Linked DNA regions of Drosophila melanogaster. The protein of the gene in region 1 interacts with the protein of each later gene in a pairwise test. Each region holds a gene or a part of one and is shown in the gene's direction. Other genes may lie near its edges.

The links. Proteins that work in one complex are often made in the same cells at the same time.
Region 2: the proteins of Drsl4 (region 1) and CG42263 interact in a two-hybrid assay, tested with the Drosophila melanogaster proteins (one large-scale study listed by BioGRID).
Region 3: the proteins of Drsl4 (region 1) and GABA-B-R1 interact in a two-hybrid assay, tested with the Drosophila melanogaster proteins (one large-scale study listed by BioGRID).

What each region holds. Positions count from the first base shown.
Region 1 is NT_037436.4:3,313,854-3,316,462, forward strand, and holds Drsl4 (Drosomycin-like 4), read left to right. Parts: upstream 1-1,766; 5' UTR 1,767-1,783; coding exon 1,784-1,999; 3' UTR 2,000-2,089; downstream 2,090-2,609. Other genes in the region: Drsl2 (Drosomycin-like 2), read left to right, coding at 522-734; Drsl3 (Drosomycin-like 3), read left to right, coding at 1,181-1,396.
Region 2 is NT_037436.4:19,953,991-19,957,758, reverse strand, and holds CG42263 (uncharacterized protein), read left to right. Parts: upstream 1-1,959; 5' UTR 1,960-2,006; coding exon 2,007-2,151; intron 2,152-2,211; coding exon 2,212-2,306; intron 2,307-2,355; coding exon 2,356-2,512; intron 2,513-2,567; coding exon 2,568-2,659; 3' UTR 2,660-3,212; downstream 3,213-3,768. Other genes in the region: CG42654 (uncharacterized protein), read left to right, coding at 3,249-3,369, 3,432-3,467, 3,528-3,613, 3,665-3,768.
Region 3 is NT_033779.5:15,014,336-15,019,386, forward strand, and holds the start of GABA-B-R1 (metabotropic GABA-B receptor subtype 1), read left to right. Parts: upstream 1-1,995; 5' UTR 1,996-3,061; intron 3,062-5,051.

The sequences.
Region 1 (2,609 bases):
CAACCGAGAACCTAGTTTCTATTTAATTTTAATCGTATCGAACTTTATAATGACTATACATTTAATGCAAACATCATGTATTATTTTATGATCTGCATTAATTTTCAGATGTATATGTTTGTAAATAAACGCCAAACATAATTAGACCAAGCGAACTAACTGTATACAATTTGATAAAATGCCTCTTTGGAGTCGAAATTTTCGATACAATCAGGGGTCACTGGTACTTCCTGATTCCCTGATTCATTTTATCGATTGCAGCAATGGGCAAGATTGCGAGCTCTGCCTCGAGTTTCTTGGAAGCTTATCGAATTCAGATAGGAGCACATGTGTGACATCAAAGTTGAGGCACCTAGCCACTGAGCAAATGCATCACAAAAGATTTTGAAACGTGCTAAAAAAGATTATTGGAAATGCATGGAGGTGGTGTAGTCCTATATAAGCGTCCCCACAAGCTGTCGATACCAAACGTCTTCGAGAACTCAAGTAAAGTACCAGACTCGTTCGGAACATCAGTTGCAATGGTGCAGATCAAATTCCTTTTCGTCTTCCTGGCTGTGATGACAATTGTTGTCCTGGCCGCCAATATGGCTGATGCCGATTGCCTTTCCGGCAAATACAAGGGTCCCTGCGCCGTCTGGGACAACGAGATGTGCCGACGTATTTGCAAGGAGGAGGGACATATCAGTGGCCACTGCAGTCCCAGCCTGAAGTGCTGGTGCGAAGGATGCTGAATCCATACTATATCCATTTGAAATGTGTATATTGAATATTTCATTCTAAACAAATAATATATAAATATAAAGGCCTCTTACGCTTATCACTCATACGCACTGTTGTCTTTTAATTTCCTGTATGGCAATGTGTTAGGAGAAGTGAATGTTTACATACATCATTAAATCGAAAAGATAGCAATTCTAGGTAAATAACTTATTATGATAACGATGCATTTTTAAATCAATGAAGTTGACACATGGCACACATAAATCAAGTGTTTCTGGAAAACTAGGATTATATCGGTTATTGTTAGCTTGAATTTCCGAGAAGCTTATCGATTGCTACGATCAAATAAAAAATCTTAAAATCTGTATCTCTATATAAGCGTCCCCACGAGTGGTCGATGCCAAAAGTCTTTAAGAACTCAAGTAAAATTCCCGACTCGTTGAAAACATCAGTTGTCATGGTGCAGATGATATTCCTGTTTGCTATCCTTGCTGTAATGACCATTGTCCTAATGGAGGCCAACACTGTTTTGGCACGTGATTGCCTATCTGGAACTTTCGGAGGTCCTTGCTGGGCCTGGAGTGGAGAAAAGTGCCGCCGTCTCTGCATTGAGGAGGGACATGTCAGTGGACACTGCAGTGGCGCAATGAAGTGCTGGTGCGAAGGATGCTAGATCCACTGCAGTTCAAAAGTGCATGCTGTTTTTTTGTTTATTCTGAGCCAATAATAAATATACTGTACACCGCACAGTAAAAGGCACGTAAGCATTGCCTTTCAGGAGTTATCTCTTGATTTGATTTAATATGTATGTGGTAAGTATATTAAACAAAAAGGTGCATCAACATCAAGAAGGTATAGCAATTCTATCATCCCAAAATAGCGATGCGCGTTTTGTCGCGTAAAAGGCCCAAAAGTATGCCTTTCGAAAGTTATATTGCAGTTATTTGCATTTTCACCTTTATGCTAATCGGTTAATATACAAATTCTGTACCTATATAAGAGTGCAGTCGGACTCAAGAAACTCAAAAGTAAAGATTTTAACCAGAAGAACATTCTAATAATGGCTCAAATTAAAGGATTGTTTGCTCTCCTCGCTGTGGTGACCATTGTCCTAATGGTGGCCAACTCGGCTTCGGCCGTGGATTGCCCATCTGGAAGATTCAGTGGTCCTTGCTGGGCCTGGGATGGAGAGCAGTGCCGTCGCCTCTGCAGGGAGGAAGGACGTGTCAGTGGACACTGCAGTGCCAGTCTGAAGTGCTGGTGCGAACAATGCTGAGGATCCTCATCGTCCAATATGTTTGACACATATGTGTGTCATATGTTTTTTATTGTTTTGAAAAGAAAAATAAAGAATATACTTCACAGCAAATAATACAGTTTTATTTCTACTTAAAGAACGAATCCTTTTAAAATCATAAATTTACTTCGAAAATGAGATTTATAATGGAATGGAAGAAATAATTAAATGATAAATAATCAGAGTTAACTTCAATAGAAAGCTAAAATTCATTTAGAAAGAAGTGGAATATATAATTCAACTCATAATAAGCATTTAAGAAAAAAAAAGCATAGACTATTTCAGTCTTAACAAGAGTTGGAAAGGCCATTTTCATTTATGAACACAAATCTTCATTTACCAGCACCCATATCACTTTATGGGAAATAAAGATAATCTTGTCATGTTAATATTTCCAACAAATTATCAACCGTGTTACATCGAAAAGTGCAAGTTTGGTGTTTGAATCCGGTTCTGGGTTTTCCTAACAAACTCGACAGTTTTACAATTTATGAATAAATTTAATTAATGAAACTGGTTTAATTAGTTTCCTAGAAGTCTCGTGATAAATGGCACATTGCATAAAATCAATGTCGGCAGATTATTAATA
Region 2 (3,768 bases), about 17 Mb from region 1:
TACCATACATTTAAAATAAATAATAGAAATAGATATTAATAACGAACAATAAAACTAATAATAAGCAATATAAAAGAAGAGCAAACGATAAACTCGATTTCCTCGACTAGCAGATACCCTTTACTAAGATAGCGGGAGTGCGAGGGAGAAATTTCACAATATGTTTGCCATAATAATATAAGTTGGTGAGAAACAATTAGTTCAATAATACAATAATAAAATACAATACATTTATTTATATTGTACATTTTTAAATTGCGGCAATGAAAGATTTTTCGCTTATACGAACGGACAGATAAACGGACAAAGCCAGATCGACTCGGCTAGTGATCCTAATCAAGAATATATTCCATTCAACCTGTTAAATAGTAAATACACTATCAACGAATATTCTTCTACTTTTAAATTAACGAACCAGGTGAATTTTGCTGTGGATCAAATAATTGGAACAGCAATTTCAAAAAACAATTCGTTTTTGGGTGTTTGAAACCTATTTCGAAGGTACACAGAAAAATCGAATGATTGCATTTTTATTTAAAATTATACCAAAATATAAAATTACATCTGTATGCCTTTATTTATTTTCTTTTATTTTTATACGGACTTCGCAATAATATGGCTAATTCCGTTTGATATTTAATGACCAGGATGGTAATGATTTTTTTTTTCTAAGTGCAGGGAGCTCAGTGGGGACGGTACGCTTTGTGGCGTGAATGGCGCCATCAAGAGGCAGCCAGGCGGTGCTCAACTGGCAGCTGAATAAACAGCATCAACAACAAGTGCAGGGAATGGGAGTGGGCTGGGATGGGGTTCTGGGGGTATGGACGGATGGTTGGATGGGGATGGGGATGGGGATGGGGATGGGACCAATGCTGAATACCGTCTCATCGACACTTTTTCATTGAATTCAATTAAAAGCGAAATTGAAAATTGAAATTCAATTAAGATGCTATAAATACGGCAGGGATGGGGTGCAAGGGTGTCAAGCGGGGCAGAGAGTATACAGGATACTGTGGAAGCATTCCGGGATAGAAAGGACTCGTGGCAATGATGATAGATGAGCTGCCAGTGGCTGCTGGAAGTGGATGAAAGAGATTCCATCGATCTGTGTATTGGCTGGGAGCTTCGAGCGGTGCTTATGATATGTGACATGTCCTTTTTTTGAACTTACTCTACTTTCTGTTTTTTTTTTTTCTTTCTCCCTGACATTTAATGGGGCATCAACACCAACATGTTGGTATTGATGACAAATAAATTGATGCTGCAATCAATCAAAAATAAATCAACCATATGGTGCACCAAGATAATCAAGTCTGGGAAACAATACACTAATCTGATTAGGCTCATTAGTAAACCACCATCTAATATTGTCTTATTAGGCTTCGTCTTCACATTTCCATGAAATATTGCCCTTGAGCCACCCAATCAATTCTTGTTTGGTAATAACATCTTTTTTAATTTATGGAATTTAAGCCCAATGCATTCCCTTTGCAACATATTTTGTCACTGTTTGAACTAAATTTAAATTAGTGAACTTTTGCCAACACAAATCCTCTTTAACACTTCAAGTAAGTCCATGATGCGAGCTATCTTTAATAATCCCAAACCCCAAGCCTCGGAAATCACCCCCTATTTTCCAGTCTATTGAAAACATAATTTTTAGACGGCTGCTGCTTTCAATTAACGCATTAGGCAAGGAAAAGGCAGCAGTTTCACTTTGCTCAGGGGATAATAATGAAGAAAAAAATAGAGACCAAGGGACTTTGTCTAACTTTTCCGAAAGGCTAAAGTTTCCGTGGGAGGTCGAGGTCGTTCGAAACTTTGTTGAAAATGACAGAAGACTGCAGTGACCTAAAACCAGAGGAGATGCAGCAATTCAGTTTCGCCAGCTGATGGAAAGAAAGTTGAAGTTTATGGAGTTTAAAAGTTGAAAGCGGTTGGCATTATTTGTCAAACATGGAACTGTATTTTCTAAAATTTATAGCAACGTATTTTTCCTATTTTTGATGCCATTTTTAAGAAAGCTGGTCAGACAAGAATTTTGCTTTTGCATCTCGCTGACTTCTGGATGCATCATAGTTTCATTCTACACACTGTTTTTCGGATTCCTTAACGCAGGCACTACTGTGGATGAGGTTATATACAAGAACAGTGAGTTGGAAAAGTAAGGAAACCTGAATTTTAAGAACAGCATCTAAACCCAAATACCAGCACTCAAGACTGATGTTTATGCGAAATGGTTCAATGTATTTCATATAGCTCTGATGATCGCAGCTGCAGTTATCCTGCTGATATCTGTTATGACGGTAAGAAAATCACTTCCAATATTTTTAATTCTAATAAAATTCCTTTTAGAAGTACTTAAGGATCGTTTTCGTGTGGATGGCCATGTTCATCATTCATATGATATCGTACTACATCATCTTCAATGCTTTGATAAATGTTCGCAATCCGTTCTTTAAAAGTGCTGTCTCTGCGATTATTTATGTTTTCGTGAATTTAGTGACGTTGGGTAAACATATATATTAAAAATCTCTATTCTCGTAAGTTATGCTCCAGCTTTTCAGGAATCGATTTATTTTGTTTGCTCAAAGTCTACACGTATTATTATGTAAAAGCGCATCCAGATGAATTCAGACCAGTTTGTGTGGATAAATGAGAGGATGTCCTTAAAAATTAAATTGAGATCAGCGAAATTGATTTTTAAGATGATGAAAAGCAATAGCATTTCGTGCTCTTTACCCCATGCTCATCAAGTGAGAGGATGATGCTTTTACTGTGCTAATATGGCAGACTCAATTTTCTTTATAATTTCATTAGCATCTTGATGAGAACTGAAAACGATTCCACGCGTGCCTGACAAACACGACACACATCGGGCTGGAAATTCTAGGCTAATGCTAATGAGGCCATAATACAGATTGCTTAAGTTGTAATTATGCAAAAAAGTTAATACCACAATAAAGAAGATATGGCGGAAAATGTGAAGGCAATTTCGTTTAAATTTGGCGCCATCATCTGGGCGAGCTAAACATGAGTATTTGCTTAAAAGTTTTGCAATGTACATAAATTACGTATACGACTTGTGGTTCATAAACAAATCTTGTACATTGAAATTAACAAAGAATTGTTTTGATAATTTAAAATATACGTATAATTTTTTAACATTCAGGCTTAAAAGAAATTCTAAAAATAAAAATATTTTGCAGAATATCTTATTTGCATTTCCTGTCAAAACGTCTGAAATTATGATTCTGGCTAAAAAATTTTGCTTCTGTATATCCTTGCAAATGGGATGTATACTGATTGCATTGGCTGGAATTTTTTTGGCTGGCATGAACATTGACTATATGCTCCTTTGTTTAAATAGTAAATATATATTCACATTGGCATTAGTATTATTTTTTGCATTAAATTTAATGTTTTGATAGGAACCTATTTCAGAGAAATGCAGCACAAATTCCCAGGTAATTTAGTGACTAAGCAGTTCCAATGATTCCATTTGATAATCTAGTTTTATTACCCAGAACAAGCTCTCTACACTGTGATACAAATGTCTCCCGATTTGTTAACTATCTTGGCATCGTTCATGCTAATATTTGCAGTCTTATCGGTATGTATATAATATAATTAAAGATGGTTTTTACAAAATATATGTATTTAGCAATATGGTTGGCTGTTTTGGACAACTCTATTCTTTCAAGCATTTCAGGCAGTCTTCTTTCTTATTTTCAGTTTAGCTTCAGCACTTATGGGTTCGAATTTAAT
Region 3 (5,051 bases), on another chromosome or scaffold:
TGGGGCATCTACATTGCCAACTTGGGGCCGAATGTTGGCTCAGTAATTACATTTAATTCTATGGCTTGGCAAGGGTTTTGCTTGCGAATTCTATGCAGACTCATTGAATTCAAATGTCATGCCAATATGAAAGGGTTGTCAAGCAGTTACTTCCGTAATCTTATGCTTATTTAAATATACTATTCTTTAAAAAACTTATAATTTCATTTTAACAGAATATATTTATATATTTACAATAAAACATTATGCATTTTTTCTCTTTTCATGGAAATCCATAACAAGCCACAATCTTTTCAATTAACATTATCACACTATTTCATGTTGATTGCTGATTGCAGCTGTGCCTGCAAATGTTTTAAATCGCCCATTCAATAATAACTTTCATTTTATTGAATAGTTTTAGGAGATTACCATAACATAAAATAAACGTTCTATTCAAAGCAAATTCGCTAAATATTTCACTGAAAACATTTATAATTTTATGTAATTAAAACGTGAATTTAGAGTGAACTAGAAATCAAAATCAGAGTTCAAAATAATAGCTGGCCTATGCCAAAATAACATTGGAATACAGAAAATTCATAAATAAATCATCAATTTATCAATGCATAACAATTGCGCAATGTTAATTTTCAAACTGCTGTTTACCAATTTGCTCTTGAGTGGATTTGGTTTAATTAGTGCCGTTTCTGCTCTAACTGTCTATGAAATCAATTCAAATATCTAAACAATAAGTGCGTTCTGTAACCTATACGGCAGTGCAAATATAGGCCATAACCCATGCCCTCGTATTCACACATCTGAAAGTTATTTAATCCGCTCAGCAATTTCGATTGCCATTTATTCACTGGCAGAGTTCAAGACAAGTGCATTTCAGCATACCCGAATTCCACATGCGGACATAAATATTTGAGTAATTGATTTCCCAAGTCGACGATGGGAAAACTTCCAATTTCTTGGCTTGACTACTTTTGGGCCAATGCAAATGGTTTATTTTTGACCGCAGAATCCTTCGACTTGAGCGGACAGTTGAGGTTCTCGAACTAATTGCAAAATTGTCAATGATTTATTCAGTTGGCAATTAAGGTGCCAACTAACGGTGTGGCTGGCACGGCTATATCGATTTGAAAATATTCAATAATCCCGGAGCCTTGATAAGCTCATCAAACATGCACATGGCCATCAGCAGGGGGGGGCAAGTTTGTATTTAGAGCCAAGTGTGTTTGGTGAAGGGGGGTTAGCTGTATATTTCAGGGTTTCCCCTTTTTTTGTCGAGCGGTTTGGGGGGGGGTTTTGCGAGGGGACACAAAAGTACAAGTTGCTATGGATCAAGCTCAAGGCGTGGCAGTTGGGCATTAGCTCTATGGTGGAGCACGGCAACCAAGCGAACAAAGGTCAACTCGACAAGTGAGTTAAATGACAAGGACCTCACCTTGCCTTCCTTGGGCTTCGGCTTTGGCTTTGGCCCGTGCGTGTTTGCATGTTTGGCTCGATGAGGCGACGCGACCCCAAAAATGAAACTCAACTTTGGCTTTGACTGCGGCTCGGGATTGTGGCGTGCAAGCATTATGGCCTTTCGCTTTCAAAACAATGCCCCCATCCTGTTTCCCGGTTGGCCTAGTGGCACTTGCTCCTTGTTGTTGGTTTTTCGCATTGCCCTTGGCCAATTGCGAGTGAATTTTGATGTTTTGACTGGCCATTCCTGGGGCCATTTGACAACTCTATAAAACCGGTGTCCTTAAGCCCGCCCTCGTCCTTGCGCCCAACCCCCAATTACCGTCCAACTACCACCCACCTACACCCCGCTACACCCACCCACAAAGTAAACGTAATTGCCCGGAGAGTTTCGCGACTTTCGACTTGGCCAGCAAACTGAAAAAGCGAAACTTCAAAAAACCCGACTTGACTTGGCAACTGGAAAAGTGGAAAAGCGGAAGCACGAGCTTTCCCACCGAAAAGCTCTCGTGCTCTAAGCTTTCGTCCTGGCGAGGCGAAAACGTAAATGTCAGTCATGGAGTTCCAGTCGTCGGATACATGTGGAACACAACGAACACAGCAGGAGCCTCTCGCGTCTCATCCCCCGAATACAATGCGAAAAAGTCTGTACAAAAAATAGACAAATAAGGAGCAGGAGCGAAAACACCACTCTGTGCATAAGATATAACTCCCGCAGAACTGAATACCTGCAAAAAGAAATACGCGTTAAATGGAATTACGGTGCGGGAATTGATAAAGTGAAGTGTGTTACAGCTAGAAAGCAAGTGAAATAAAACGAATACATTAATAATTCATGCCCCTCATAGTCAGAAGCTTACTAGTTTGATAAGGAATTCAACGTAAATCTGATATAGTAATGTAGAAAAGTTGTACAAAGTAATATACATAGCATATAGCATATAGCACAGTTACACAGAACACACCGCAAACTCAAACAAAGTTGACAAAAAAAAAGCTCACGCCCCTCACATCTCAGTTTTTTCTCGAATTATTTGTGAAAGTGCAACAAACATATATAAAAAATAAAAAAGAAAAGGGAGGAGAGAGCACAGCAAAAAAAGGCAGTGACAGCAGGACCTGCAAAGGAATTGCCATCATTTGGGGATTACGGAATTATCGGGATCCGTTCTCATTAAAATGGATTTAAGGCAATGCCGATGTGCTGAGCTGCATTTGTGCATGGGATTATCGATTGTAATGCGCAGTCATCAAATTATGTTTGAACAACGCCGCCGCGACAGCGATAATAGCAACAATAACAACAACAACAACAACCAAATCAACAACAAACACTGATTTGGCCCCTGACCCCCTTTGGCAGCACCCCCTCCATCCAACACCCCCTACGACCCTGCCCAAGCAAAAGGAGCAGCGAAAAAGAAGAAGCGTCTTATGAAACAATTGAAGCACCGGCCAAAGGAGCAAAGGAGCAGACAAAGACAGAGACAAAAACATCGGCAAAGGATAAAACGGAGGCCGAGAAGAAGAGGAAGCAGTAGTAGCAAAGCAGGAAACAACAACAACAACAACCGCAACATCGCATTTTTAAACGGCAATACGCAAAGTAAGTGAAGTGTAAAGTGAGCGAGATGGCAATAGAAAGGTGTAGAGTGCCGCGAAGAGAGGCGGAGAGAATACACTTGCAAAAATGTGAGCAGCTAATTCCCAGGGATGTTAAAAAAAATTAAACCCTCATGGTTCAAAGATTCTAGGAGATGGACAAGTGATGAATGGTCAGTGGAAATATATGTATGTTTTAAGCCAAGTGAAATCAAAATGATTTGAGAAGTACAAATAAAAGAAAGAAAGGAAAGAATGATATATGATATTTATTGGTTGTAGTACAGGAAAATAATAGTTAAAATGATATCCCGGATTGATGGTCATTACAATGATCGTACCACAAAACTCTTTCTAACTCAAATTAAATTGTTAAAATTATTTTTCAATACAAATTTGATATATTTTTGTTTTTTCGCCGACAAGATGCATAGATCTTTCATAGAATCTGAAATCTATATCTTTTTTATATTGCTTTTGAGAAGAGTAAACCGATCATCATCTACGATCACTCCTTTTTGTTCTGTGTAGGTATGAAGAGAGCAGGTGGGAAGGCAGTGAAGTGAAGTGAAGCATTTGTCGCATTTGTGCAGAATTCCCGACGTAATTAATGTTTAAAGTCTGTGTGTGTGTATGTGTGCGAAGGTTTGTAAACTAGGTCACTAGGAAGTTAGCCCCTTGACGACCATCCCCTCTCATCAGCGCCTCTTCAGCGGCAACTCTACGTCAAAGGTGTCAACTCGCCAAATCTGCAACCACACCTTAGTTAAGTGAGCCACCCCGTAGCCACCAAAATTATCCACAGCACCACCACCTTTTATTCGTCCTTAACACACCGCCATGATTAACGCGCCTCAGTGCGATTAACTGGCAAACAAATTTGGAGTGACGCTGCGGCGATGTACATACATACATATATGTATGCATGTTTGTGCTAAACCGACAGCATTTCCATTCAATAACACACGCGGCTCGTATGCAAACACTGTAAAAAGGTTTTATGCTAAAAAAGACGCCGTATTTGTGCATGAAAAACTGTCATTCATCATCCAACCAACACAAATAACCGGTAATGGCATCGCCACATTATGGCTTTGTATTTTTTACATCCTCAAACACAAAAAAACTTTAGTTGATTTCTGACTTGCATCGCATTCATCACCCACTAAAGTCGAGCAATCAATCCTCAAAATACGTATACGCACTGTTAGTTCAGTTGATTAATAGGCTAATTATGAAGGAAACTGAAAGGAAACACTAAATCAATAAATCCTGGCAAATTAGCATCAGTATATATTTGTGTTAGTGCAAACATTTAAGTTTTCTATCAATTTTAAATACAAATATGTTCAGAATTAAGATATATTTCAAAGGGAACTATGCTTTGTTTAATTAAGATTTAAGGTTTTATAACTATAAAAGCCTTCAAAATGTGCCATCTATTTTATATTCACTTACAAGCAGATTTCAATCAAGACCACTCTTTAATATGATATATTATGTCTAGAACAACCGAGAAGGCACTCTTAAATTAAATATTTTAGTACCGTAATAAATTATGAAACGTGCTGACGGTAAAATATATAATACAATTCATACTTTAAGTTATATTTTTTTTTTGCCCTATATGGTTTTACGTATCGGTGTGTATGTGAGTACCTCGCACACGCAGGACATAGAGATAAAAAGGCTTCTCCCACATAAAAGTTCTATTCTGTTTTTTTTTTTTTATAGAAAAATATTGCTGGCAGGAGTTTAGAACATTGCCAAAGGGGATGCGGACAGATGAAGGGGCGGGGGCGTGGCGGGTAAAAGCCATAAAACTCAGGCGCCGAAGCGCAAAATGCCCTTGCCCTGAACAAAAAGAAGAAATTGAACAGCAACAACCAACAACAAAAACAAAGAAGAACAAGAGCAAATAAAATACAAACTGCTTATTTATTTATTTGTTTCGACAAATCTCAATTGAAACAAAGCTTAAAAGCTTCGAAATC